Linked DNA regions of Caenorhabditis elegans. The protein of the gene in region 1 interacts with the protein of each later gene in a pairwise test. Each region holds a gene or a part of one and is shown in the gene's direction. Other genes may lie near its edges.

Evidence for each region.
Region 2: the proteins of B0303.7 (region 1) and ced-6 interact in a two-hybrid assay, tested with the Caenorhabditis elegans proteins (one large-scale study listed by BioGRID).
Region 3: the proteins of B0303.7 (region 1) and paic-1 interact in a two-hybrid assay, tested with the Caenorhabditis elegans proteins (one large-scale study listed by BioGRID).
Region 4: the proteins of B0303.7 (region 1) and dhs-25 interact in a two-hybrid assay, tested with the Caenorhabditis elegans proteins (one large-scale study listed by BioGRID).

Annotation. Positions count from the first base shown.
Region 1 is NC_003281.10:8,690,091-8,699,621, forward strand, and holds B0303.7 (SH3 domain-containing protein), read left to right. Parts: upstream 1-3,531; 5' UTR 3,532-3,564; coding exon 3,565-3,652; intron 3,653-6,854; exon of another isoform or gene 6,855-6,960; coding exon of another isoform or gene 6,961-6,970; intron 6,971-7,268; coding exon 7,269-7,625; intron 7,626-7,892; coding exon 7,893-8,138; intron 8,139-8,260; coding exon 8,261-8,442; intron 8,443-8,495; coding exon 8,496-9,104; 3' UTR 9,105-9,431; downstream 9,432-9,531. Other genes in the region: B0303.4 (transmembrane and ubiquitin-like domain-containing family 1 protein), read left to right, coding at 24-158, 245-414, 462-590, 652-748, 797-851, 1,118-1,648, 2,112-2,600, 2,652-2,854; sdz-1 (Skn-1 dependent zygotic transcript 1 protein), read right to left, coding at 9,476-9,531.
Region 2 is NC_003281.10:5,593,103-5,599,358, forward strand, and holds ced-6 (Cell death protein 6), read left to right. Parts: upstream 1-2,668; coding exon 2,669-2,822; intron 2,823-3,167; coding exon 3,168-3,445; intron 3,446-3,603; coding exon 3,604-3,894; intron 3,895-3,943; coding exon 3,944-4,382; intron 4,383-4,432; coding exon 4,433-4,749; 3' UTR 4,750-4,969; downstream 4,970-6,256. Other genes in the region: ucr-1 (Cytochrome b-c1 complex subunit 1, mitochondrial), read left to right, coding at 1-179, 229-286, 338-455, 508-718, 769-898, 965-1,029; wdr-37 (WD repeat-containing protein 37), read right to left, coding at 5,015-5,517, 5,567-5,839, 6,221-6,256. UniProt on the Caenorhabditis elegans protein: May function as an adapter protein in a pathway that mediates recognition and phagocytosis of apoptotic cells during normal development. Promotes engulfment of cells at both early and late stages of apoptosis.
Region 3 is NC_003280.10:4,368,250-4,375,482, reverse strand, and holds paic-1 (Phosphoribosylaminoimidazole-succinocarboxamide synthase), read left to right. Parts: upstream 1-2,957; 5' UTR 2,958-2,967; coding exon 2,968-3,063; intron 3,064-3,575; exon of another isoform or gene 3,576-3,645; intron 3,646-3,849; coding exon 3,850-4,338; intron 4,339-4,635; coding exon 4,636-4,812; intron 4,813-5,140; coding exon 5,141-5,425; intron 5,426-5,469; coding exon 5,470-5,670; intron 5,671-5,712; coding exon 5,713-5,736; 3' UTR 5,737-5,858; downstream 5,859-7,233. Other genes in the region: ntl-2.1 (NOT2/NOT3/NOT5 C-terminal domain-containing protein), read left to right, coding at 135-254, 785-915, 989-1,115, 1,166-1,319, 1,381-1,596, 2,081-2,537; try-9 (Peptidase S1 domain-containing protein), read right to left, coding at 5,865-6,080, 6,172-6,299, 6,345-6,534, 6,688-6,993.
Region 4 is NC_003284.9:1,483,932-1,490,722, forward strand, and holds dhs-25 ((3R)-3-hydroxyacyl-CoA dehydrogenase), read left to right. Parts: upstream 1-2,600; 5' UTR 2,601-2,643; coding exon 2,644-2,683; intron 2,684-3,263; coding exon 3,264-3,505; intron 3,506-3,628; coding exon 3,629-3,703; intron 3,704-4,046; coding exon 4,047-4,220; intron 4,221-4,385; exon of another isoform or gene 4,386-4,406; intron 4,407-4,982; coding exon 4,983-5,198; 3' UTR 5,199-5,395; downstream 5,396-6,791. Other genes in the region: acly-1 (putative ATP-citrate synthase), read left to right, coding at 1-156; D1005.4 (Activin_recp domain-containing protein), read right to left, coding at 969-1,118, 1,278-1,391, 1,741-1,860; D1005.10 (C-type lectin domain-containing protein), read right to left, coding at 1,975-2,030, 2,146-2,254; F09E10.5 (Globin family profile domain-containing protein), read right to left, coding at 5,741-5,903, 6,202-6,280, 6,340-6,400, 6,446-6,643.

The DNA of each region.
Region 1 (9,531 bases):
AATCTAAAAAAAACTATTTTCAGCTAAGCACAGTCGTCGCAATATTAATCATCATAGCATGTGCACTTTTATCATATCAAATCTCTGCTCGAAGGCCTTTATATTATAACTTATTTGTTGTAGAAATGCACACTTGGACAACTAGGAGGATGGTGCAGGTAATTTTATTTAAATATTAAAAGAAAAAAAAAACGAAAAACACTATTGGAAAATTTCGAATAAATTTCTAAACTTCAAAATACAGGTTCTTCATCTCGGTCAAGAGTTCACACCGCCCGTCACATGGGAACGATTAGTTCAACGAATGAGGGCAAGAGCTCCACGAATTCAAGGAGAGCAAAGAGTGGCAATTTCTGATACAAATATTGTGATACAGTCGCCGAATACGGTTATTGATTCACCAGCTCCTGCAAGGTTTACTTTTAAAAATGTATTCAAATGTTTAATATTTCCAATTCCAGATCACCAGACGTTGACCTAATAACATTATGGGACATTGAAATGCCGCCACCGAGTGCTGGTCACGTGCCTGACGCCACAAGGGATAGTCAGTATGCTGCTGCAGCGGCGATAGCAATTTTAGCTAGAGGGTTAGTTTTTAAAAAGTTTAATTTAAGGTTTAAAACATTCAAAAATTCTGTATTTTTCCAGAGACGACGCATCTTTGATGTCTCGAACGTACAGGCCTCAACTTCGTCCACCAACAGAACGATCTGGAAATACTCGAGTTGATGAGTCGAGACCCAGCGTAAATGAAGAAAAAAAATTGATTTTAAAATAATTTATTTTGGTTCAGGAAAATTCTTCACGACATGATTACGTTACTACAGACGTTACGTATACGACTCCATGTAAGTTTTTCATATTGCTTTTTTTCGAAACTTTACCCGAACAATTTTAGCTAAAACTTCAAATATGACATAAAATCGACAATTTAATATTTATTTTCAATTTTTTGTAGGAAAAGCCTGAAAATTAGAGAAGAGATGAAACTAATTCATTTAAAAAATTAGAATCAGTTTCTTAATTTTTTAACAGTTACATTCGGTCATTCCGGCCTTTTTTATAATTAAAAGTAAAATCCCCGCCTGAAAATTAAAAATGTATGGATTTTCAGCAATAAACCCGGATATGCAACATCATCTTTCAACAAGAACGTCAAATGTAACACAAACTCAGCCTCCAACAAATCAAGTGTTCGCTGATACACCAGAGCTTACAGAAGATATTGTGATAGATCAACAGGAAGAAGATGATGAAGAGGATGACGATGACGATAGTTCAGATGATGCAATAATAGAAGATCATGAAGAAGAAGAAGGTCAAGATGATGATGAAGAAACTGAAATTGAAATTGATAGAGGAGGTCCTATTGAAGAAATTGAGCAAGTCGAAGTTGAGCAAAATGAGGATCCGCCACTGGATGATCAAGAAGTAGAAGCTCAACCGGAGCAAGTTCTTCAAGAAACTAAAGAATCCGAATTTCCAGTAATCGAAGGACCATCAGAAGGGAAGATTTTGATAAAGCTAAAGTTTATGAATGATACCGAGAAAAACACGTATGCATCACTGGAGGATACTGTAGCAAAGTTCAAAGTAGATCATTTCACAAATCTTGCGAATCAGGTCATACGGCTCATTTATCAAGGTATCTTTAATTTTTTATGTAAAGTAAAAACAGTTAGTAATGTATTTTAAAGTTTAAAAAAATTAATGAAAACAAATGTTTGGCATTTGGCAAAAAAGCTTTTTAAAAAATATTTCAAAAATGATAAAAAATAAGTGAAAACAAAGATCTAACGATTATTTTTTGCGAATTCCATAAAATTTCTGAAAATATAGAACACAATTTTATTGGCCTATATCTAAAGTATTCGTTGAAAGACACAAAAATGTACCTATCGACCGCAATTTATTTTGTTGATAATTTGATAGATTGGAAAAATTGTGAAAACGTGCCACAGTTGAAAGTTTTATAGAATTCCCAAAATTTAATACCACTGGCTCATAATCCTGAAAATCAAATGGAAAAATGAATATTAAAAAAAACTATTTGAAAAAATTAAAAGTCTTTTCTTCAAGCCTAAATAATTTTTAACTGAATTTTTCAGGCCAACTTCTCAGAGAAGATCATCGAACGCTAGAAGAATATGGTCTTCAACCAGGAAGTATAGTTCATTGTCATATTAGTACAACACCATATACACGACCAGGAATAGCAACTCTTCCTCCAATTGTCAATAATGGTTTTCGACGAAGACCTCGAAGATCCGTCAGAGCTCCACGTGACACAACTCCAATGCCGTCGGAAAGTGTTCCAGTAGTTGATGAGAATGTTACAACAGCAAGAAGAAGAGCTGCGCAGGACAGAAATGTTGGACAGATCTATTTACTTTTATCAACAATGGTTCCAATTCTTTCTGGAATTGGATTGGCATTTTTCCGTCCTGATCGAATTCGAGATCTACTTCGGCCAGCCACACTTCTGACGATTAGCCAATGGGTATGCAATTTACTTGTTGATAATGGATTGTTGGAACAAGATGATGATGATCAGGAAACTCATTTGCAAACTTCAACATTATTTTGGATTTTTGGAGGTGATTCTAATTTTCAAAAAAAAACACGTCAAAACGCAATATTTATTACAGGTCAAATGGTCGCAGTGAGCATATTTCTGTACTACTTTCCAGATGTATTTGATCGAGTCGGCTTTTCGATCTTCATTATTGTATTTCTTTACTTCGTTTTTGTGGTTTATTCACGTCAGCGACGACGCCAACCGGATCCTGTTGAGGTTCAAAATGAAATGATGGAAAATCAAATCGTCCAGGAGACTATTCGTCTTCTGTAAATTTTAATTTATATTTCACAGTGAGTTTTTATTTATTAGGAAAAATAAATTAAATTTACTTCAAAAAAACTTTTTAATTAATTGAAAACGAAAAAGTTATGAATTTATTTTCTTTTGAAAAAAGCTTTCGAAAAAAAACCAGAAATATTAATTTTTGCTTTAAAATTGAGTTTCGATTAAAAAGCTAACAAATAAATAGTTGTTTTTATTCAGCAATAGATTTTTCAATTTTCAGATTCTTGTACACTTCAAATCGAAACCATTATGATTCTAGCCACAACAAAATTGCACACAAAATGGGTATCAAAACACTTGGTTTTTTTTTCAAAATTTTCCACTTGAAACGGATCAGACAGAGGATGAGAAGATCCAAACATACACACATCGAATACTGCGAAATTTTATTCAATAATTCTTATTCCCCCCACCCCGTCCGTGTGTTCTGTGTATATTTGACTCGGTTCTTGTTTTTCATCTTTCTTTTGCATCATCATTAGATACTTCACTAGTAATAAATTGGTAGCTTTTATACAATTGTGGACTACAAAAAATACAGTGCTAAAGGATGTTTGATTGTAAACTTCGAAGAAGGCAGCAGCACAATTGAGTTGAGTAAATATGGAGAAAAGTTGGAGGCAAATAAACCCTTCAAGACCCCCTTTGGATTCACTTTTCCACCCAGATAGATAGTTGCTCCAACATTGAGAATAATGGTAAGGCTACCACCTCCAACGCCACCACGGAAGCCTAATATATGTGGGACATCTGGAAATTCAAATGGAATAAATGAGAATATTGGTAAGTTTTTTTTTAAACTTTATGCTGATTTTCAGATGTTTGTGAGATTTTTAGAGAAATAATTAATTCTAAAAATAATTTCGATGTATTTTTAAATGAAAAAAAAAACCACTTTTCGAAATTATAATTTTGAGATAAATTTAATTAACCTGAAAGCAGGATCTGCGAGCGAACGGCAAAATTCGCAAAAATAGGCGGTAGGCAGGTATGTAGGCAGTAAGGCTAGAGGCAGACACGAAAATGTAAATTCCTACGGCAGCTTTATCGGAAAAGTTGAGACGACTAATTTTTTAATAGTGATAAAGAATATGTGCCTTTCAGGAGTACTGTAATTTTCTGCAACGAAAGTCTGAAATTACAGTACCCCTTAAAGGCGCATATTCTTTTGAATCCAGCAAGCATTTGTCGTGTCGAGACCAGGCATCTATTTTTGGCATATGGGTAATATAATTTGATAAGTTGGAAAATATTGAAATTTTTTTTAAATTTCATTAAAAAACATTTGCTGTCACAATTACCACAAAATTTCCACATATTGTTCATAGATTTTTCGTTTTGGAGCCAAGAAAAGGTTCTCGCACTTGTCAGTATGTAGATAATTATAGGAAATCTTGCAATATACAGTGTGGGAAAGTTCTATAGGACCCCCCCTAATTTGAAGGTTTGAGGAACTTCCGAAAATTTTTTCGAAAAACTGCTAATGCCGTTCGTTTTTAAATTGAAAAAAACCTATATACATTTTTTTCCAGAAGTTTATCTCAAAAACTGAGGTCGCGCTGGAAAAAACGTCAAAATCCAGTGTGAAACTTCTATAGGACCCCCCGTTTTTTTTCACGATTTTTACTAAAATCAACAGATTTTGGAATTTTTGACAAAGCTCAAATCAAGTTTGAGTTAGAAATGAGTTCAGATAAGCAGTTTTGACTTTAAAAATTAATACGAAATGTTCTCGTGGGATCTCCAGACTGGTTCTGATTCTTCCGATCTTTGATGTTCAAGTCTGTTTCAAGCTTCCTGGTGCTCTCGGTAATGCAAAAACTTGATAAACTCTCTTTAACAAGTTCCTACTAAAATTCCTAGCACGCACTTTAGATGTTTCGACTGTGTAGTCAAGCTGATTTGGCAAAATATGCAGCAGGAAACAATGGAAGGCTTATCAGGAATCAAATCGTTTTTCTTTGATTACAAGGTTCCATGGGACCAATATTTCAAGTTAAATTGTCCCTCACAGATGTTATTTACTATTTTTTGCGTGAATTATTAAATGTGGAATTGTGGCATGTGTTGTGGCACACATATAGAGGCTGGAAAGCTTACTTCGAAAGCAGTCTAACTTGCAATGCCTCGAGGATCTGCCCTTTCGGACACTGAACGCGCTCAGCTGGATGTTATGAAATTGCTCAATGTGTCCCTGCATGAAATGAGTAGGAAAATTTCCCGTTCTCGACACTGTATTCGCGAGTATCTGAAGGATCCGGTGAGCTACGGTACATCTAAAAGAGCTCCTCGTCGCAAAGCTCTCTCCGTGCGTGACGAACGAAATGTGATTCGTGCTGCCTCCAACTCCTGTAAGACGGCAAGAGATATTCGCAATGAGCTTCAATTGTCTGCTTCAAAAAGGACCATCCTCAATGTCATCAAACGATCTGGTGTAATCGTTCGTCAGAAACTTCGCCCTGCTCCGTTACTCTCTGCAGACCATAAACTCAAGCGATTGGAATTTGCTAAGAACAATATGGGAACGAATTGGAGTAAAGTGAGAATTTAAAAAAGCAAGAGTGAATAATTAGGATCATTGTTTTAGGTTGTCTTCTCCGATGAAAAGAAATTCAATCTCGATGGGCCTGACGGTTGCCGCTACTATTGGCGCGATTTGCGCAAGGAACCAATGGTTTTTTCGAGACGTAATTTTGGAGGAGGAACGGTGATGGTTTGGGGAGCGTTCACGGAGAAGAAGAAGCTTGAGATACAGTTCGTCAGTAGCAAGATGAACAGCACTGACTATCAGAACGTCTTGGAACTGGAGCTCTCCAAATATCTTCGTCACTACTCCAGAAAAGACTTTAGATTTCAGCAGGATAATGCGACAATCCATGTGAGCAACTCAACCCGCGACTATTTCAAGCTCAAGAAGATCAACCTTCTTGATTGGCCAGCTCGAAGTCCTGATCTCAATCCAATCGAAAATTTGTGGGGGATTCTTGTCCGTATCGTGTATGCTCAGAACAAGACTTACCCAACAGTTGCATCGTTGAAGCAAGGAATTCTCGACGCTTGGAAGTCTATTCCGGACAACCAGCTGAAAAGTTTGGTCAGATCAATGGAGGACAGACTGATTGAGATCATCCGCACACAAGGAAACCCGATTAACTATTGATCCTTTCTTGATTTTAGTATATGAATGTTCTGTTGTTGATCAAAAATAACTGCAACTTGTTAATACGCTGTTTCTGACTGGTTTCTTGGGGATGGCGTAAAAATGTTTATGGTGTGTGTGCTAGGAATTTTAGTAGGAACTTGTTAAAGAGAGTTTATCAAGTTTTGGCATTACCGAGAGCACCAGGAAGCTTGAAACAGACTTGAACATCAAAGATCGGAAGAATCAGAACCAGTCTGGAGATCCCACGAGAACATTTCGTATTAATTTTTTAAAGTCAAAACTGCTTATCTGAACTCATTTCTAACTCAAACTTGATTTGAGCTTTGTCAAAAATTCCAAAATCTGTTGATTTTAGTAAAAATCGTGAAAAAAAACGGGGGGTCCTATAGAAGTTTCACACTGGATTTTGACGTTTTTTCCAGCGCGACCTCAGTTTTTGAGATAAACTTCTGGAAAAAAATGTATATAGGTTTTTTTCAATTTAAAAACGAATGGCATTAGCAGTTTTTCAAAAAAATTTTCGGAAGTTCCTCAAACCTTCAAATTAGGGGGGGTCCTATAGAACTTTCCCACACTGTATATTTTATCTATTTAAAACAATAAAAGAAGAAATAACAGGATGCTCTGGAAAGCTATGATGACTCATGCTCGAATGACGTGTCTTTTTTCAATGATTTGTCGAAATATGTGTCCGAGGTGTGTCTAGTCACAACATACATTCGTCACTTTCTCTCATTCTCTCGGCAAACACAAGAGTTTCCATTGCCTATCTGTCTGCGTTTCTATAACTTATACACTCTCTCGTATTCCTAGTCTTTTTCCTTTTTCTTCCATCCATCGATTTCCCCAGTTCTCATTCTTTTTATTTCTTTTTCTGGCAGTTTTAGGGTTTCTCACGCTCTTTTGTTCGGGCTGGTGCTCAATTTTCATGTCAAAAGGTAAGATTTGAAAATTTATTTACAGTTTCGTATTATCTAAATGTCCTGAGAGTAAGGATTTCTTGAAGACGATATTTAGATATTATATAACTACATAAGTTCTAGCTAAAATTCTGACTCCCATGAAAGCAGGAAATGCCTACCTGCCTGCCTATAGGCCAGATAAAACTTGATTTGAAAAACAATTACGCCAACTTTTTTTATGAACCAAGTGATAACATTAGTTAAGGCTCCATTTCAAATAAACCAAGCTTTGTTTATTTTCATATCCTATCTATTTAGTAAACCATATTTCCAGATACCAGTACCTTCTCAGTCTCAGCCGCCAAGGCATTATTCGAGTCAGCCAAAAGACCAGAGGTTCGGAATGCCGCAATCGCAGCCGCCAAGAATCCATTCGTCAGACAAACAGCTAAAAATGTTGCACAAGATGAGAAGGCACGTGGAGCAGTGTTGAATGCTGTCAAGGACCCAAGTGGTGGAAATAAGATCTCAGCTGCATTTGCAGTTGCTGATGCTAATCGAAAGTCTGATTCAGTTCCACCACCACCACCACATCGAGGAGGAACATCGCCTGGAAAACTTTCTGGATCACATTCTGCAATTAGATCACAATTGGAAAATATGCATATCGGAGGATCGGTGATGTCAAGCAGTGAGTTTTGAAAGATTAAAAAAAAACAGATCAAACAAAAGATTATCAAAATAAAACACTCCGAAGTTTTAGATGTTTCAAAATTTATAGCTAACGTTTTGGTAAATTGCCAAATTTTCCAAAAAGCTTGGATATTCTGATAAATGTCGAGTTAATATCGAGTTAACTGCCGGAAGTAGGCGGAAGGTACAAATGTAAACAGGCAAGGGAATATCTGGAGACATGCCTACCGACTATTTTTTTCTTCAAAAAGTTCTAAAATTTCAGATTCTTCTACTGCAACTCCATCGTATCAATCCAACTCAACATCTTCTTACTCTTCATCTGCACCAGTTGCCCCGCCTCCAGTGCCACGTCATACACAATCAATCCCGTCTTATTCGGCACCAGCCATCAGTACTCCTTATGGAATTGCCAAGTTTGATTACGCTCCGACACAATCTGATGAGATGGGATTGAGAATTGGGGATACGGTTTTAATTTCTAAAAAAGTGGATGCGGAGTGGTTTTATGGTTAGTTGATTTCAAATTAATTTTTATATGGAGTAAGAGGAGATGTTCTCGATTTTTGCAGAAACAATCGCATTAAATGTTTGAAACTTAGTTACTCAATACATAATCTTCCATTGTTTCAGGTGAGAATCAAAACCAGCGCACATTTGGAATTGTTCCATCATCCTACCTTGACATCAAGATCCCATTGAAAGAAGCTTTCACAGCTCTGCCTCCACGACCAGCAGCTCCATCTGGATCATCTTCAGGCACATATGCAACTGCAATCTATGACTATAATTCGAACGAAGCTGGAGATTTGAATGTGAGTTTTTAAAAGACATCTAAAAATATTTGTAAATCTGAATGTTCTTTCAGTTCGCTGTCGGATCACAAATTATGGTAACAGCTCGTGTAAATGAAGAATGGCTAGAAGGTGAATGCTTTGGTAGATCAGGAATCTTTCCATCTCAATTTGTGGATTGTCCAAATCTTTATCAAGTTCCAATGAAACAATCAGCTCCATCATCTGCTCCATCTTATTCTCATCCAATTACAAACAATAGTGGTCCCAAACAAACCGTTACTGTATCTTATGATTACGATTCTGGAGTTGCTTCTGACCTCCGATTATTCGAAGGTGACGTCATCACAGCCCTGGAAGACATTGATGCTCAATGGTTGCTCGCAGAATGTCGTGGACAACAGGGAATGGTTCCGAAGACCTTCTTGGGACCACCATACGGATCTCCAAAGAAGGCACCGTCAAAAGGAATCGCTGAAATTGCATGTGCATTCTCTCCGAAGAAGGCAGTTGCCACTGGTGACTATCATTCCGAAGATCCCAAACATCTTTATGTGACACGTGGCGATCATTTATTGATTGTGGAAGATGTTGATGACTACTATTACAAGGGAAAATTGGAAGCTTTCAAGACTTTGCCAGCGGGTATTCTGCCAAAGAATATTGTCAAATTGGAAAATTGATTCTGGTCTTGATTATTTCTCACTAAATTCACTTTCTAGCTTTATATGTGCCAGTTTTTTGTATTTTCTAATATGTCATTTATTTACAAAATTCAAATTTTCCCCGATGCGTGTTTTGTGCCGATTGTCAAATTTTCTAGAAATGTATTTTCAATAAATTGCCTTATCAAGTGTGGGCCTAGCGTTTCCAATTAACGTTTGTAGATCAATTTCAAATAGCTCATTTCTCTGCGTTACTATAATAGTTATTTTGTGAACTTCCAAAACTTCAGAAAAATGTTAAAGTAAATTTATTGAGGAGAATAATGAATTTGAAGAATTTGTTACAATATGATGAACGTAATATTATGTAGGTTCGATTATTCAAATATTTATACGACACATTCAATTTTAGTAGACGAGAAAAATCGGCTTGGTGCATCCAAAT
Region 2 (6,256 bases), 3.1 Mb from region 1:
TGTCCGCTGTCGGAGGAGGAGTTTCCAATGTTTCAAGCCTCGCCGATAAATATTTCGGAGACTTGAGCAACGAATACCCACGAAAGGTTCCACAGGTCGATGGAACACGATTCACCGGATCTGAATACAGATACCGCAACGATAATGTCCCACACATGTATGCTGCTTTCGCTGTTGAGGTACAAATAATAAATGTGTGTTCAGTCTTTCATTTTACTTCATTTTTAGGGTGTTGGATATGCCCACAAAGATGCTCTCGCTCTTCAAATTGCCAATCAATTCATTGGTAAGTTGGCTTTTGTGTGAATTTTTCAATTCAAACCGTAATTTTGATGAGTTTTAGGCCAATGGGATGTGACCCACGCTACATCCAGAACAGCTGCTTCCAGACTTGTCCAAAAAATCGGACACGACCACGGAGTCCATAACCTCCAGCATTTCAACATCAACTACAAGTAAGTATCTTTTTTTGCAAGCTTATTTAAATTTTTATTTTCTTTTTTTCAGAGACACTGGATTGTTCGGAATCTACTTTGTTGCTGATGCTCACGACTTGAACGACACCAGCGGAATCATGAAGTCTGTTGCTCACGAATGGAAGCATTTGGCCTCTGCTGCCACAGAAGAAGAAGTCGCCATGGCCAAGAACCAATTCAGAACCAACTTGTACCAGAACCTCGAGACCAACACACAAAAGGCTGGATTTAACGCTAAGGAGGTTTGTTACTCTGCAGAAAATGCTATGGATAGTTATTTCATTATTTTCAGCTTCTTTACACCGGAAATCTCAGACAGTTGTCAGAACTTGAAGCTCAAATTCAAAAGGTTGACGCTGGAGCTGTCCGCGAGGCTATTTCAAGACATGTGTACGATCGTGATCTTGCTGCTGTCGGAGTTGGTGAGTAGTTTTCCACTTGCTGTTGTTTTTACATTATGAGAATTGCAAACAATTTCTCTTTTCTAGGTCGCACAGAAGCCTTCCCCAACTACGCCCTTACTCGCGCTGGTATGTCGTGGTGGAGAATGTAAGCAGTGAACGATGACGTCTTCCTCATCTCGGATTCCCTATGTACTTTTCGCTGTTCGTTCACCGTCTCTCTCTCTCTCTATCTGTTGTCAGATACACTTTTTTAGAAAACTTTTTGCTGTTCATTTATTTTCTTTTTCCAAAAATTAATTTTAATTTAGAGTAGCGTTATTTGTTTGTACGGTTCGGAGTAAAATGAATGAATTGACGAATTGTGCCAGAAAATGTATATCTGCTCGATTATTTTCTGCAGAATTATAATATCTGAATGATTTCCTGATGAGATTGTCTGCCCATCAAATCAGCGCCCTCAATTTTCCCCCGATGCAAAAAAAAAAACACAACAAGACCACTCCCAATTGGACGGAAAGATATCTGCGTCTCCGACCGATCCATTGCATCTCTTGTCCACCGGTTGACTGGCCTTGACCACGTTCGCACACTTATTGTCAGCCTCACCCGAGGCTATCCGCTTACTGAACCCCACTTTACGCGAAACTTTCTGTATATAGGTGACTGGCGTTAAATAATAATAGCATCGTTCCATTTTACAGCTAATTTCTTACCTGAAAGTTTTCGAATCTTGAAAAAAAAACTAACTGTCATTTCAAGTAGTAATTAGTAATTCTTTATTTCAATAAAAATCAGCGAAAATGATCCAAAGTCTAGAATTTTAACAGGAAACAGTAAAATTGTAGAATACTGAATTCCCACTTCTCCTCGAGAAGTACACGAGCTGCGTAAATCGACACATGGTCGTGTTATTGGTTCACGAGTGTGCGCCTTTAAAAAGTACTGTAGTTTCACCTTTGTTTTTTCAACTTTTGTTGCTGTCAGTTTTTCACGATTTTTCGATGAAAACATACTTCCTGATTGATCAACTTAAATTTAAATTAAAAAAAAAACTTCCCGAAAAACCATTAAAATTAAATGAAAATTCCGGAACAACAAAAGTTTGAAACTACAGTACTCTTTAAAGGAGCACACCTTCTCGTATTTAGCACAAATTTGTCGTGTCGAGAACATTTATCGAATTATTGGTCCAAAAATTGTCTGGATATTATGTGAAAGCCCGTGATTGAATTTTTTCTAGTCCAAAAAACATTTCAATTTGTTTTTTTTCAATTTTCACTTTGACGATCACAAGTTTCATTTCTTTCTCTTCTCTTGCGATGAATTAATAAAATATCATGTGACTATATTTCAATTCTTTTTCCAAGTACATTCTTTCAGAATTTCTCAAAATTTTCACCCCAACAAGATGACATATCTGCGTCTCTCCTATGTACCACTTCTAAGTTTATACTTACTCAAAGTCTATTTACATTCGGACCCACCAAAAGAACCTTTTCCTTTATAAATTGTTTATTCTAATAATGGACTCTCTTTAATACATCTATCCGATCCCTCTTCCAACTGACTCATTGAATCATCCGGTTTCCGACAATTTATCCGTCTATTTCTCCTCCAATTCATGATCATTTCCATTGCTGACTCATCGTTTTATCAATTCTTCTTCTTTTCTTTATGTTTACACAGTTTGCTTTTCTGCTCTTTTCCTCCCCATTTCTTCGCCGAAATCTTGAGACTTTTTGAACCATTTTTTTAAACGAAAAATGTTCTAAACTTTTTCTATATCAGATGGCAAAAGACATTTACAAGACCTTCAAACGATCGGTCTCCGGAATTGTCGGTGGAAATAATATTAATGGAGAAGGATCTTCAAGCCCGTCGACGAGTGCACCACAAGTAAAATATCGTGGTGGGACCGGAAGAACGTGGATTCATCCGCCAGGTTTTTTAAATTTTTACTTTGAAAAAATTGAAAAAAATTGTTTGAACAATTTGTTTCATCTTTTTATTGAAAATATGTTGTTTATTAAAAATATGCCGTAATACAACACATTTTTCAAAAAAAAATTCCTGATGAAATTTTTATAAACATTTTTTTACGAATTCCCAAAACAAATTTTAACGCCTTTTTTGTAACTTTTTGTAAAGTCGCTTTAGAAATTTGTAAAATTTCATAAAATTTTTGTTTAAAAATAAATGTCTTTGCTTTTCCAAAAAATAATTTTTCGAATTATCTTGAACATTAAAAAATCTTCATTCGACAATTATTCTTTTCTTTAATTTTCAGATTATCTTATCAATGGCCATGTGGAATATGTTGCACGGTTCCTTGGATGCGTCGAAACTCCAAAAGCAAATGGAAGTGACGTGGCAAGAGAAGCGATCCACGCGATTCGATTTCAACGCGATCTGAAACGATCTGAACAAACGCGGGAGACGGCGAAACTGCAAAAAGTGGAAATTCGCATCTCGATCGACAATGTGATCATTGCGGATATTAAGACAAAAGCGCCAATGTACACTTTTCCATTGGGAAGAATATCGTTTTGTGCTGATGATAAAGATGTAAGAGATTTTGAGTTGAAGCTAGAAAAATTAATTTAAAATACTCGAAATACTTTGAGAAATAAACATTAATTTTTCGATTTTCCTACAGTAAAATAACTTTGATTGACACTTTCGATCATACAATTTCGGAAAAAACCCCAACAACGAAATTTCAGGACAAGCGAATGTTCTCATTTATTGCTCGCGCCGAGGGTGCTAGTGGGAAGCCGTCTTGTTACGCGTTCACATCAGAAAAGCTAGCTGAAGATATCACTCTAACTATCGGAGAGGCTTTTGATCTCGCCTACAAGAGATTCCTTGATAAAAATCGAACGTCTTTGGAGAATCAGAAGCAAATATACATTTTGAAGAAAAAGATTGTGGAGCTTGAAACCGAGAATCAAGTGCTCATTGAGCGATTAGCAGAAGCTCTACGGGCTAATAGTAAAGCTGATTATGAGAACACGGTAGTTTTTTAAAATTACAAAACAAATTATTAATATATAACATTTTCAGGGTCCCCCAATCTATCCAGGATTAGGTCCTCCAGCACTTCCACTTTCTCCGATGCCTCAAGGACCTCCACCAAACATTCCTCCATCCTCAATATATTCCATGCCACGTGCCAACGATCTTCCACCAACTGAAATGGCTCCAACTCTCCCTCAGATTTCTACATCATCAAATGGAGCATCACCATCCGTGAGCCCGGCATCCACATCACCATCTGGACCAGCTCCATCAATTCCTCCACCGAGACCTCCTGCACTGGCTCCTCCGCCACCAGTTGCTCCACGCAGAAACCCCGTTGTTTCACCGAAAAACTCCACGGCGGGATTGTTGGATGGATTGGAGTTGGGGTCAGCTGAGCCGGCAAAAAAAGCTCCTAGTAATATTTTCGATGATTCGTTTGATCCCAGAGCTGGAGAAAAAAAGAGCACTGCAGCTGAGTATAGTGAGTTTTCAACAATAAAAAGATCTTTTCAAAAAAGTAATATTTTCTAGATCCATTCGGTGCGGACTTCCTCAGTGGCATTCAAAATGGTAAAGAAGCACCACCATCAGCCTCCGCTGAACTTCTCGCTTCTGAAGCAATCGCTCGTCTTCCAAAGCCAGAATCCTCATCTGTACCACCCAAAAAGACCGCTGCAGAGTATGATGCAATGATCAATGAAGTGGAGAAGAAGCTTGCCGCGATGAGTAGTGGATCATTTGAGTTCGGGCAGCTTCAAACCGGGGACCTTGGCGGAATCGAAGGCGAAAGCGATTATGGAACACCATCGGATCGTTTGAATCCGAAAATGATGAATTTGAAGCAATAAGTTTATTTCCTTTTTTTTAAATTTTCCAATTTTCTACGTTTCACGGTGATTTTTTTCCATTGCATTCTTGTACTATTCTTGTATCATTCTTTTACTAGCAGGGTTTGGCCGAACGGCTTGCCAAATTTATTAGCTGAATGTATTTATTTGCACGCTATCATTTTTAAAAATTACTTACTTACTTACATGTGAAAAATAAACTGGAATGTCTCATGGCTAAAATGTCACAAAGCTTTTCTGGCAACAAATAGAAAAAGTTTAAATATTATGAAGTTGTTGTATTGACTTTCCACGCAGCGACCATTCTATCGAAACCAGCGGTGAGCAGATTGTTGGCAGGATGCTCGTCGAGCCATGCACAGCACGTCACCATTCGTTCGTGACATCGGCGGTTCGGCATACGTGGCAGGCGATTTCCATTGAGATCATAGATCCTGACGTGACGATTATCCATTGGGATGGCGATGACCGGATGTGACTTGCTGATCGCCACACGATTCGCCGGTGATGAGAGCCGAATCGTGGCCAGCGGGGTTCGCATGTTTCGAAGATCCCAGATTTTTACAGTAGCATCGTCACTGGACGACACGATTCGATAGTCCGTGTTAAAGCTGACCGAAGTCACTGAATCCTGGTGTCCCTGGAACACTGCGACCGACTGTATGGCTTCTCGGAAATCCCAGAGGCGGAAGGTGGAGTCTTTGGATGAGGTGAGCACGAGCTTTTGATTGGAGTGAGTGCTACAGTGATTAAGCTCACTTTCATGACCTGCAAATTATTCATTTTTGAAATTTAAAGTCGTTTTGTGACACCCTACCACTTAAAATATTCACAACTTCTCCTTTCTCAACATCCCAAACATTTGCCGTTCGATCCCAGGAAGCAGTGACCATCTGCTGTCCTCCAGCAAGCCATTCACAACAGCTAACAGGAGCTCGATGTCCGGTAAGCCGCATAACAGGGACACGGATCCGATGACCGTCGGATTTTTCGCTGGACGAGGTGAAGCGATTGTGTTCGACGACGCCGAGCAAGTTGTTCGGATCTCGGTGGTGCTCCTCTTCTTCCTCGGAACTGTGATCGGATGGAGCTGAAAATAGTTATAGCTATAGGGAAGTTTATTATTCCGAAGAAGTCCATTTTGTGGGCGGGGCTTACCATGTCCCGCCCATTTTCTAGGTGTTTTTTTTTCAAAAATACAAGAATTTAAAAAATATTTCAATAAATTTCGGTGAAATTTCAAAATCTTATTGAAAAAACTGTGTTTCAAGTTTTTTTAATCCGAAAATTTCGCCTTCTGGCAACTATAATTTTTGTAAAATCGTTTTTAAAGTTTTCAATAGTCTTCAAACTATTGAAAACTTTTTTGTTTATTTTTTTTAGAAACTGTCTGCTTTTTTGGCAAACCAGCGATTTTAGGCGACTTTCAGCGCTAAACTTTGCAATTTTTAAGAATTTTTTGAAAATTTACCATTATTACTGGGAACCTTCCAAATATGCGTTGACT
Region 3 (7,233 bases), on another chromosome or scaffold:
ATATTAAATTTGACCTGCTTGTGTGGAAGTCCACGGAAATGTTTTCCTTGAATCTTTCATCCTTTTTATCAATATTTAAAAAAAATTAGAACAATTATTTCATTTCTCAAGGCATTTCATCGATTTCTATTCAGGAACGTCCTCACTCGGCGGCGGCGGATTCTCCCCAATCCCAACAACGAGCGGAGGTGTTTTGAACGTTGCCCAGTCATCGCCGTCGAGAGATCTTTACGGCGCACAAAGACCCAATTATGGTAAATTTTACTTTTTTCTCTTTCTGTGTGATGAAAAGCATGAAGTATCAAAAATTAAAAAAAAAAGTACGATAGCTGGTTGTGAACCGCGAATATATATTTTTTTTTAAATCAATTTTTGTTTGCTCTTTGAAAATGCGCGCGCGCGAAATTCTGATTGAACATTTTAAAAATTACAATGCGTGTTTCATTCTGTTTTGAACGCAATTGTGCAATTTTTCGATGTTGGCAACTTCTTTCCGTGAGTTTTTAGGCAAAACGCAAATTTTCTGATAAAATTTACTCATTTTTACTGCAAAATTCCGATGAATTCGAGAAAAAACCGCCGAATTCTTTTGGAAAATTTTATTTTTTATTTAAGAAAAATCAATATTGAATGTGTGCAAAAGTCCGTGACGGTGGTTGCGTATTCCATGATCGACCGTACCCCGCAGAGATTTTTCGTTCAGAATTTCCATAAAAATTCTCCGAATTTTCGCAGTTTTTGTCGTGTTCCTGTGTTGTTAAACCATGCAAAAATTAATTTTCAGCTAACCTGATGAGATCGGACCCCAGTCTAACAAATCCCGAGTTCCAAATACAGAACGAGGATTTTCCCGCGCTTCCCGGCGTCGGTTCTGGTCAAACACAGCGATCAATGCTTGGAGATCAACTGGCTAACGTACTTAAATTTAATTTAATGTCAACAAAATTTCTGCGTCGATGACAATCAAATAATCGATAAATTATTGCAGATGTTAGCAGACGACCATCAAGTCGACTTTGCTGGACCCCTAGGCGATTGTGACCCCTCGCGGCTCAGCGGGATATCAAGAAATAGTCAAGAAGGACCTATGCATGGGATTATTACTCATCCTGATGGTGGGAATACTTTAAAAATAAGCATTTAAAATAATAATTGTTAATTTCAGGCGAAGTGACAAACATTCCAGCGTCAATGCTTGACGATCAGTTTGGGATGGCGGGTTTGGTGACATATCTTCGGACAGTTGACAATCCTTCCATTGTTTCACTGGCGTTAGGTTATGATCTTACGACGTTGGGCTTGAATTTGAATTTGTCAGAGTGAGTAGTGGCCTGAAAAGCCCGAAAAGCCCAGAAAAACTCTAATTTCCCTCTGTTTCAGACGAAAATTGTACATGAACTTTGGTGGTCCGTGGGCCGATTCGCCGATTCGAGCACACGAGCTCGACGTGAAGGTGCCCGAGGAGTACATGACGCATAATCATATTCGAGACAAACTTCCACCGCTGCGATTGAATAAAGTTTCAGAAGACGTGTTATTCTATCTTTTTTACAACTGTCCAAACGAGATTTATCAGGTGGCGGCGGCGTGCGAATTGTAAGTAAAGTTTATTCCAAAAACCTGCATCGACCATGACCGCGAGCGGAGCGTCGTGTTTAAAAAATTTATTTTAGTTTTTTTTTTTCCCCGAGAATTTGTGATTTTCATGAATTTACATATGAAACGCATAAAAAATTGGCCAAAATGATAGAAAATCACTCGTTCTGGGCGAAAAACTTTCAAGAAAATCCGCTTTTTCGTTAAGATCGCATAATTGTTCATCATTTTAGTTGATTCTTATTTCGCCTCATATATAAATTTATGAAAAATCATGTGAATCACGCGTTCTTAGCGAAAAGTTAAAATAAAAATTATTGAGCCGCTCCGTTTGCAGTTACGTCGCGGTCGAAGTTCACGAATCAAATTATTAATAATTTTAAAATTTTAGCTAGAAAATTGAAAAAAACATATATTTTATGTTAGCAATTGAGAAAATCTTTTTTATCACGAAACAATCATTATATTTTCAAATTTTTTGCAGGTACGCTCGCGAATGGCGATTTCACAAAAGCGAACAGGTGTGGTTGACGCGTTCTCAGTACGGTGGAGTGAAAGAACAGACGGGAAATTATGAAAAAGGGCATTACAACGTGTTCGATCAGATGCAATGGCGAAAAATTCCGAAAGAGTTAAAGTTGGAGTACAAAGAGCTCGAGGATCGGCCGAAAATGCCGCAATCAGTTTCCGGACAACCGACACCCTACAAATACTTTTTCCAAGGACCACAATTTCCGAGCGGTCCGGAGACGGGTCTGATGCTTCAGATGCATAACTTGACGCTCGGCACAGGTGGCGGCGGTGGCGGACAAATCACTCCACCGGCACCAGCGGGTCTTAACGGAGTTATGGGTGGTGGTGGTGTTGGAGCAGCTGGAATCGGAGGAATCAATGTGCAACCGGGAGCCGTTCCATCGGCGGCGCGAGCTACTCCAAACTAAACAAGAAGAAGATGATCTCTCGTGTGCAAATTTTCTATATCCCACTTTCGTCATCTTGTTCTCGAATTGCTCCCTTTCTCTCTCATTTTCCATCTCTTTTTCCCCTCTTTCTCTCCACATTTTCTCTCCCAATCTCCCATTTTTTTCCTTCGTTTTCCTTATTTTTCCTCTTTTCTCTACGTTTTCGTATAAACGATTATCGATATACACAAGTTGCTCTTTGAAAACCTGTGATTTTTCAAAGAAAGAGCTTCACAATGACTGGCGGCGGCGGTTTTCTCTGTATTTTCAGTGGCGCAACACCGAACTGATAAGACGGGGAAAAAGGCTGAAAACAAGATGTTTGTCGATGACAAACTCGCCTACAAGGGGGTTCTGATATCGTTCCGTGATAGCAACACAGTTTCATTCGATACTATTATTGTTTGTCATGTCGTCGTTGGCTGAAATCGCGTCGAGACCCGAAAACTTGGAGCTTCTTGCTGAAGGAAAAACCAAGCAAATCTTTGATATTAAAGGAGAAAAGGTTGGTTTTTTTCACTGAAAATTCAAAAAATTTGGGAAAACATTAATTTTCTACTAATTTTTTAATGCTTTATAGATTAAAATTTAGATATTTTAAAAGCGCCTTTTGAAATCGTGATGCAAACGCGCTCCGCGAGTAATCTGACAAGCTCCGCCCCAAAACGTTGGGTCTCGTTGGGAACGTGAATTTTTGACGATCTCACCCAATTTTTTTTGCATTTTTCAACATAAAAATCGTTAAAAACAACGAGAAATGATTGGAAAGTGCTGGAATCGGCAAAAAAGTAGGATTATACGGTTTTACCGCCAATACCTAACGAGACCCGGTTTTCAGTTATCCGTGGCGCGCTTTTGCAGCCCAAGTCACATTTTTATGCGTCTACATAATATTCAGAAAAGCGTGTCCTAGAAACACGAAAACTCGGCCAACCGAATTATCAGAAGAGATTTTTCAGAAGTATGCTCAAAATAATCTTTGAAAGAAATGTTCGGTTTTCACTGTCGGTGAGTGGCCGAGGTTTCACGTTTTCTAGGCCACGCCGCAAATAGCCAGCTTGTGGCCTAGGAAATGAGAAAACTCGGCCACTCTTTCAGCACATTTTTCAAATACACGTACGGAAAATTTCCTGTAAAAACGGTGTCTGAGCTTTCACGGAGCCTAGAAAAAACTCGGTCAATTTCGTAAATTTGAAATCTATTTGAATTTTTCCGTTTGGATTGCGATAATAATGTGCTTTTCAACAAAATTGAATCCAACTTTTTCAATTTCTGAACAAAATCTTTTCAGGATTATGTGCTCATTCGTTCCAAAGATAGCTTGACCGCATTCAACGCTGTCCGTAAAAATGAGCTTGAAGGAAAGTCTAGAATCGCAAGTAAAACCACATCAAACGTGTTTGAATATCTTCAACTTCTCGGTCTACCAACACACTTTGAAAAAAGCATCTCTGAAACTGAATTTGTCGCCCGTAAATGCACCATGATTCCGATTGAATGGGTGGCACGACGTGTTGCGACAGGATCCTTCTTGAAGAGAAATCCTGGAGTTAAAGAGGGTTTCAGATTTAATGATCTGAAATTGGAGACATTTTTCAAAGACGACGCTAATGATGATCCACAATGGACTGATGAACAAATTGTGTCGAATGGTTTGATGATTGATCATTTGAAAATTGGAAGAGAAGAGATTTCATTGATGAAGAAGATGACAAAGTTGGTGTTTAGAGCATTGGAGAAAGGATGGGCTCTTTCAAATAGTGCTCTGATTGATATGAAGGTGAGGGTGTTGCAAAGTTTTTATTATTCTCTTTTTTTTTATCGGTCTCAACTTTAAAAAGTAAACATAATAAAAAGTATGTAAGTTTAATGTTCGGTCTGCAATATATTCGTTTTGTAAATATTTACATTTTGAAAGGAAATCAGCACCATTTAAAACTGGGTGTTTTCTGTAACGTGTCGATTTACGCAGCTTGAGTACTTCACGAGGAGAAGTGTGTTTTTCTTTTCGCTGAATTTTACAATTGTCGGTTGTTGTAATTTTGAAATAATTTTGAAGAAAACCTGAAAATTCCAGATCGAATTCGGAGTCACAGTTGAAGGAGAAATTCTCCTGGCCGACGTGATTGACAATGACTCGTGGAGAGTTTGGCCTGAAAATGATAGACGTCTGCAGTTGGATAAGCAAGTTTACAGGGATATGAAGGAAGTGACAGAAGAGGGGTTGGCTCTCGTTTTGAAGAATTATACAAAGGTTAGTAGGCCGAAGCTTAGGCCTAAGCATATGCCTATGCCTGAGCCTAAACCAAAGACTAAGCCTAATCCTAAGTTTTAGCCTAAGCCCATGTCTAAGCATAAGCCTAAGCCTAAGCCTAAACCTAAATTCAATCATCCTATATATCAATTGTTAGATTTTTACGCGAATCAAACCTTTCGTGTAAGCACAATAACTTGCCTGCCTGCAAGGCGATCTGCACCTGATTTCTGCCAATATGCATACCTACAATTTTCGGTAGACACGTTGAGTAGGTAGGCAGGCACATAGACACGAAGGCGTATCTACCTACCAATAACATTTCCAGGTTATGGATATCACTGCCACCTTCTCAAAACACCAGCAAAAATGCCATGTTCTTGTGATCATGGGATCTGGTTCGGATGGCGTATTCGCACGGAAAATCTCTGATGAAGCCAAGAAATTTGGACTGGAAACTACGCTGAAAGTAAGCTCAGCTCATAAAACTACCTCGGACACTCTGGAAGTTATCGCTGATTTCGAAGAAAGTGGAGTTCCGACAGTTGTGATTGCAGTAGCTGGAAGATCCAATGGACTCGGTCCAGTTATTGCTGGAAACTCGTCTCTTCCGGTAGGACTTGAAAGATCAGATGATCTTTATTTCAAAGAATTCAGGTGATCAACTGCCCGCCACCAAGTGAATCAACGAGTCTTGACATTTGGTCATCACTCCGAATGCCGAATGGAATCGGGTGTACTACAGTGTTGGACCCATCGGAGGCCGCGCTTGCCGCCGCAAAAATCCTCGCGTCTCACAATCATATTGTGTTTGGAAAAGTGCTCACTGCACAGCTCAAGAATCAAATCAACATTTACGTAAGTGATAGAGATGTGAATTTCTAATTTTTGAACTTTCAGAACGCCAATCGCAAACTTGAATAGATGCAGGACTGAATTGAAATCAGATTTTTCAAAAACTTTCTTGTGTAAATTAACTAATTACTCAACGTTCACTTTTATTTCAGCATTCTTATATTAAAAACGAAATGAAATGTTTGAATCTTAAACTTTCAACTGCACATTCCACAGCACGTGCAGAAGAAATCCACGTGTGCCGAGACATCCACGAGAAGATCAGTCTCTTGAGTCAGCTGTCTCCGTTGCTGACGTTGACGATTATGGGTATCGTAGAGTTCTGGACAAGGCATTCCGGCTGACAAAACACCTACGAGAACTTGAACATTTCGAGTGTCCGATGTTCGGACAACTCCCGAGCCACTGTCACCCTGGAATCAGTGGAAACTATTAGGCATCTTGGGCAAGTAGGCATTGTTCTGCCTACTTCTGAAGAAACACTTTTAAACTTTAAAAACAAACATCACAAGACAATCCTCTATTCACTGCCGACGTACAATACACCCCGCCATATGGGAAATCGTCGGAGCACTCCGCAACAAACGAGTATAGCGATTTCAACTTTCCAGACTCCAAAACACTATCCGAAGCTGGAATTAAAAATTTCAAAAGATCACATAAAAATCGGAACTTACGATCTCTTCCATAACCAAAAAGCTTATATCCGGTTTCTCTGATCCTCGGGATCTTTGGAGCAGATGGAAGACAGGCTGGGAATATGTCTTTTGAGAATTCGATGGGTTCTTCCAATTCGAACACGGCGATGTCGTTGAATGATTCTCGATCAATGCAACCATCTCCGACATAGCCTTTTCGGATGTAGAGCTGTAAAGAAAATATGTGTTTAGTAAGACTAAGTGAGCCTACGTCTAAGCCTAAGCCTAAGCCTAGGTTTGCGTCTAAGACTAGGCCTACGCCTTAGCCTAAGAAAAAACCAAAGCCTACGCCTAAGCCTAATTGTAAGGGTAATCTACTCACCGACTTTATCGCCAGTGGCTTGAACATATCCTTCCTATGCAATCCCTTACACATCTCTGGAACCGCACATGTCACATTAACGAATGCCACGAAATTCTTATAGTCTCTCACGAAATACGCTTCTCTGAGATTTCCAGTATCACAGTCAGGCAGAGGATCCTCACTGATTCCGATCAAATGAGCAGCTGTTACAATATGCCATGGAGAGACTAATGTTCCGGTTCCATGCTGAACAAATTCATTTTCCGAAAACTTATTTCCGCCGTTTCTAAAAGATCCCGAGCCATCAGAAATTCGCTTCTTCATAGCCAATGAGACCGCCCATGGGGCTTCACCAATTTTCACTTCTTTACCGTACAATGCCTTGTATTCCTCAGAAGTTCTGCGATGAGAGGACAAAGTGGTAAATCCTGGCACATATCTTCCACAGTTTGCTCGTAGAATCCGGTTTTCTCGTGGGCTCAGCCTTTTTGCAAAGGTTTGGTAGATCAAAATTGAAAAGAAGAAGAAACATGAAAATGTAAACCAATTCATTGAAGAAATAAC
Region 4 (6,791 bases), on another chromosome or scaffold:
GAGATTGGATCGCTCAATGGGCTTTTCGTTTTGGGTAGATCTATTGGATTTATCGGTCACTACTTGGATCAGTCGCGTCTGAAGCAGGGATTGTACCGTCATCCATGGGATGATATTTCCTACATTATGCCGGAGAGCAACTTGGTAAAGTTTTGAATATAAATTGCTTAAGGTTTTACGCACTGACCAAGTTTCAAAAAAATTCATATCTAATTTCAATGATAATTATGAACAATTTTCAGTAAATTCCGCAACCCTTCAACATTCTCCTGGACCAAGCAACTGAAGCATTCCAATTTTTTCTAATCACTGTACCCTAAAAGTCCCCTATCTCCCCCCAACCAAGCAATAATTTCACAAGGTTTTTTTTCTCAACTTGTTCATTAATTTATTTCCCGTACTCTACTCTCAACTTTAATATTGCACCCCATGAGCTTTACTTTTTAGCTTACAAAAATGTATTTTTCTTGAATTTGATGATATTTATTCAGCTTAGACAATAAAGCATGGTATAGTATGGAATTTTCTGGAACTTAAGAAATGCTAAGCCAAAAAAATTTAGCACGGGCCTTTTTTTTTAGCTTTCTTTTGTGTTCAAAAACTTATATAACTAAAAAAAGGTTTAAAATACAGGTTTTTACCCAAAAATTTCGGCCGAAATATGTATTTTTAGATTGTTTTAATGAAAAAAAAACTCTTATTTTTTAAATGAAAAAACCATCTCAATCGCAATTTCTTGAGTTTTGAACCTAGTACAAAAATGAACCGAAACACTTTCCAACGGTAATTTTAGGGGTTCAGAGCTGAATTCTGTCCCTGAAATTTTTGTGGTGACCTAGTCTTAACATAGGCCTTAAACAGGCCTCATCTGGAAATTGGATTTTCAGGCTTAAAAATTATGGAAAGGTTTAAACGAGAGGCTCTGAAAATTGACTTTTTATTTTGTCAATTTTTTATTATTTAAATTTTCAAAATAGGAAAAAGAACATGCAAAAAACATATATTGCTGAAAAAGTAGTAAAGCTCTGTCCTGATAAATTGCAGAAATCGTAATTACAGCAACACGCTTTAACATCAACATCACCAAGCTTTTCCTTTTGACAGCTCACTCCGTTGGTCTGAAACTTATTATATTTTTTGTAGACCTCTCAGCAGTTTTGAAAACGCTTTTGGCTTGAATTTTTACTAAAGTTAGCTAAGATCAAATGAGCAAAATTACTTAACCAACGCTGAACACATTTGAAAACTCAAAATAATATGTGCTATTAAAAACTTACATCACAATTTGTAATAGACACTGTCGGATCGGGACACGTTCCATTGAACACTGTGAAATAAGATGCTTGCTCAGAAAGCGTCAAACAATAAAGGCCATTGCAGGTGATAGCTGTCTGAAATTTCATTGTTATAGTTATGATTGAAAGGTTGGAGCCCGTTTCAGTTTTCTGGTGGCACTTGTTTCAGTTTAAGCCTTGTTCAAGCCGGGGACCAAGGCCTATAATCCAGTCCTCTAATGCTCCACTTCCAGATTAAGGCTGGATAGATTTAGGGGAGCTTGAACTTGTGATTTATGAATTGGTAGAGGTCCCTCTCAAAATTGAATAAAAAGAGTAATGAAGTAAACGTTTTTTTCAACAATTGCACTGACCAACAACAACTCAATTTAGTTAATACATTTTTTATAGTAATATAAATGTTCAAAATTAATTATTTTTTCAAACAACTTTTCATTTTCCTTACCTTACCGACTGTATGCGTCTTGCCTTCATAATCCATTTGTGAAAATGCCCAGCACTGTATCGAAGCTACCGGTATAATAAAGGTAATAAAAATCGATATAAATAAGAAATAAGTAGGCATCATAAAATTCAAAAGTGTGCAACTGTTGCTTTATCAGTGAAAAGCATTGGAAACTGTGCTTTCGTCATGTGAAATGCAAATTTTCAGGTTTTGTGATTTATTTTCAACTAGTACTTACTTATCAAATTGCGCACATTTGTATGAAATTGCATGCCATAATTGTTGATTTTCTGTCAAATATTTTTAAATTGGAATTTTAAGTTCAGTTTGAACTGCAAAACTAATTTCTGAATGTGTTCATTGCGCCGTAAACATTCAAACTATTTATGCAACTCGTTAACTTACCAAGTGCACTGACACCACTTTGCACTGACCATTGACCATTTTGCATTGACCAATTTGCATTGGCCATTTTGCACTGACCAATTTGCACTGACCAATTTGCATTGGCCATTTTGCACTAACTAATTTGCACTAAACAACTTGACATTTTTTTTGTTGTTGAGCACATGTAATTTTTTGATAAAACGGCCTGAAAAAATCTTGAAGTCACACTATCATCGGGTGATTCCGAGCTGTTCCCAATTCTCAAGTTTACAACTCCCGAAAACTTCACAAGTCACTAATCACACATCACTAGGTTCCTCCGAGGTCAAACTTTTCCCGTTGGAAAAGAGACAATTGAAGAGTGAGAGGTTGCATGACGTCATAGACAAACGTCCAAGTGTCTGTGACCTCTCATTTGCATGTACTGTCTTGTCGGGGAAGGTATATATTGATCATCTAGCGTTTGAAACAGCGCACCAGTGTCTCTGTAGTTTGGGCAACGAGCAGTCGGTAATTATGAGTGCTTTGCTGGGAGGACGAATTGCTGTGGTTACCGGTGAGTTGTTTTATTTGCAAAAAATTATTTTGAAAAAAAAATTGCAAACACCTAATTTAATATATTTTTCAAGTTTAAAATAGAAGGAAAAAAAAATTTTTTGGAAAAAAAATTAGCAAAAATTAAAAAAAATTGTAGTGATTTTGAGAATTAAAAATAAAAAAATTGAGCAAATATCGTTTCGTGAGTTAAATAAAAGAAGTAAAATATGAGTTGACATTGAAGTTGGTCAGTGCATTTCACACGTTTAGTCAGTGCATTTGGTCCGTAAAAAGCAAAAAACATACCAAGTGCACTGACCACCTGACTAGATCAAACCGAAACCCCCAGAAATTACTCTCACAAAAAACCTGCTCACTTCCAGCTTTTTGCAACATGAAACGTACTCGAAAGTCACATTTTTTCTGTAGTCCTGAGAAAAAACGTTAATAAAAAATGTTTTTATTCTCATAATCCAAGAAAAAATGAATGTTAAAGTGTGGGAAATAGAATACGGTAGCTTACGCTATATGTATATTTATAGCGTTTTTCAGAACTCACAATGTAAAAAGAGCAAAAACCAAAAAGAGCCAATTTTCAGGTGGTGCATCCGGCATCGGCAAGGCCATCTCGCAGACGTTGGCCAAGCATGGAGCTCGTGTCGTAGTTGCCGATTTGGATTCCGGCAACGCTGCAGCCACTGCAAAGGCTCTTCCAGCTAGCCAGAGCCATTCCTCGTTTGCCTGTGACGTGTCAAATGCAGACAGTGTGAAGGGGCTCAGTGAGCATGTAAAATCGCTGGGAACACCGTCGATTTTGGTAAATTGTGCAGGGATCACAAAGGTTCGGTTTTTTTACAAATTCATCCTAAATCGTACACCTACAGTAATCCTTTGTTACTAAAAAGGTGCTGTTGGAGTCAAAATATGTGTCTAGCGAACTAAAGAAACAAAAATTTTTTTAAAGGATTCTACACTTCTAAAAATGAAGCAGGAGCAATGGGACAGTGTCATTAAGGTCAACCTTACCGGAGTCTTCCATGTGAGTTTTTTTTTCTGAAAATTGAGGCGAAAAAGTTTTCCGATACAGTGTGATCCTAGATTATTTTTTAAAAGTGATTGAAACACTGTCAGAATAAAGATAACAAAATCAAAGAGGTAATAATATTTTATACCCTTTTTACAGTTTTTTTTTTTAAATTTTGACTTGCGACTACCGATCGTGACGGCGCACAACTTTAGACTCTCCCCCAAATTTTACCATTGGTTGTCAGATAAGAAAGCTTGCTCAGCATGAAAAAAAAACTATAAAACAAAAATTTAATATCTACTTGAAAGTTACTAATTTTTACATCAGTTCCAAAATGTTTTAAATACAATTTCAGGTATCCCAAGCATTTGTCAAAGCATCAGTTGACAACAACAACCACCCATTATCAATTATCAATGTTTCATCAATTGTCGGCAAAATGGGAAATTTCGGCCAAACCAACTACGCAGCCACCAAGGCCGGAGTCATCGGGTTCACAAAATCTGCAGCGAAAGAGTTGGCGAAAAAGGTGAGTAGTTTCTGATTTTGCGGCAAATCTCAAATAGAAATATAATATAAAATTTATACGAAAATATAGTGAAAAATATCTAAATCTACCGGCCCATACTTTTTTGTGCACACCTCTGTTGCACTATGTTTTAAAATAGACAAAGCAATAAAAAAGAGATTTCGTTGACGAATTGAAACTAAAGTTTTGTTTCCCAAAAAAGTATCACGTCGAAAACAATAAAATGCACTAGACTTTCCTATGTTCAAATATGTTCAAATATGTTCAAACTGTTACGAAAAATTATTTTTTGGTGCACTACGTATGTTTTAAAATGAGCTTTGTTATATTCTGCTAAAAAATTTTTATTGAGAATTTCATTAGTGATTAGGTCTTAAAAATTAACATGTACTGCCAGAAAAATGTCAAAACTGGAAAACTGCATAGTTTTTTTTCTTTTCGATGCACCATGTTGCAAAATGAATTTTGCATGATTACTGAGGCCTGAACTTAATAGTTCAATTCCGCTTTGAACTTTGGAGAACTATGTATTCACGACGTTAAAAAGCATTCGATGCACCATGTTTTGAAAGGAATTTTGCATGCCTGGTACTGGCTGTACATAGAAAACATTTCAAATGTAGCTATCATTATTGGAAAATTAATTTAAACGTTTTTTTTTAAATATTCAGTAGATATACCAAAAAAAAATTAAAATCTCGATGCACCATGTTCGGGGGAATCGCCTTTTGACCACTACCATCTTACTGAAATTTTTTCCAGAACGTACGTGTGAACGCAGTGCTCCCAGGCTTCATCAAGACCCCAATGACAGAGGCAATGCCACCGACTGTGTTGGCCGAAATCTGTAAGGGAATTCCAATGGGCCGGATGGGTGAAGCCGAGGAAATCGCCAACTCCGTCTTGTACCTTGCCTCTGATCTCTCCTCATATGTGACTGGTGCCACTTTGGAAGTTACCGGTGGATTTAGTATGTAGATTAAATTTAGACTTTTTACTTTGACGGTTTATATCGTGGATTTTAAAACTTCTGGAGATTTTTATTTAATTAATGTATACTTTTGAAAGTCTATGAAAAAATCTGAAACTATGCCCTCAAAGTAAGCAGGTAGCTTGGTTTAGAATCTTTGTTGATATTGTGATTAACTTTGTTTCATGAAATGAATATTTGTTTTAAATCGGGATATCTTTATTAGTGATCAAATATACATTATAATTAAAAAATGAAATAAATGTTATTCAAATTATTGCACGAAGGTTTAACAAAACTGTTTTGTATAATTGTTCAATTGAAAACTTTCACGTTTTGTTAACAAAATTTGAGTATAAGGTTATTGATAAATAGGAAAACTCTAAACTAAATGTTAATGAACCCAGCAAATTACATTTTTGTCAGTGCAAACATTTTTTGGTCAGTGCAAACATTTTTTGTTTAGTGCAAACATTTTTTTGCTAAATGTTTCTTAGTCACTGCCCGAAGTGAAATATTTTAATTTTGAAAAAAAACTCAAGTAACTTATTCAAAAATGTCTAGAAACATTAATCGGAGAATACTCATCAGGCTTATTCACAAAATCCAAACTAATGTCACAAATTTCAATAGGAGCCGACTCGTCAATGTCTTCCTCGCGGGAGTGTGAAGTGTTGATTCGAAGTTGAGTGGAACGTGTTGGTACCGTGATTCTGAATTTATTACTTGGAAACTGTATAATTTTATTTTTAGCAATTGAAAATGTTAATGTCACAAAAACACCTGTTTCTAGATTTTGCGCATAAAAGTTTGAACTGAACGTAGACACCCATGTGGTGTCAGGCTGTCTCAATACGGTTTGATCTACAAAAAATGCCGGAACTTTTCCCCAGAAAAATTGTAACGTCAGCAAGGTCTTAACATGCGAAATCAGTTGAGAAGTCTGCGTCTCACCTTCCGCATTTTTCGAAAATCAAAACGAATTGGGACTTTCTGACTCCACGTGATTACCTGGATGGCCCGGGCGCCGACGTTTGTAAACTACCATGCGACAGCTTCCTTGTCGGAGACGCCTTCTCCTCAATGCTAGCTGGAAAGGAAGAAAATAAAATTTTCTTGGCAAGACCATAATAATTCTACAAAACTTACCGTCACTGAAACTCTCCCTGCTCATCAGACGTGCTAGTTTTGTGATAAGTCTCGATCTGGTCTGAAACTTCTCAAAAATTTTATTTCAAGATGATAAAATTCTCACCGGTTCAGCGACAGTTTTGTCCTTGTGAAAATATTCCATTTCCTCTCTGGTCATTGTGTACTTCTTGTGGTGCCAACCGTACACAAAATGAATTTTGATACTTTGTATAATCTTTTTCCAGACACTTTCTATGATTTTCTTGTCATTATTGCATACTGGACCTTCGTAGCATGTGAGAGAAATGAAGTCAATATGTTTCTGAGAAAATAAATAGTTTAGGCTTAGGCTTAGGTTTAAACTTAGGCTTAGGCTTAGGCGTAGGCGTAGGCTCAGGCTTGGCGTCAGTGGCGAACGTTAGCCTACGATATATCTAATCAAATTAAAGCTTTAACTTACTTAATTACTA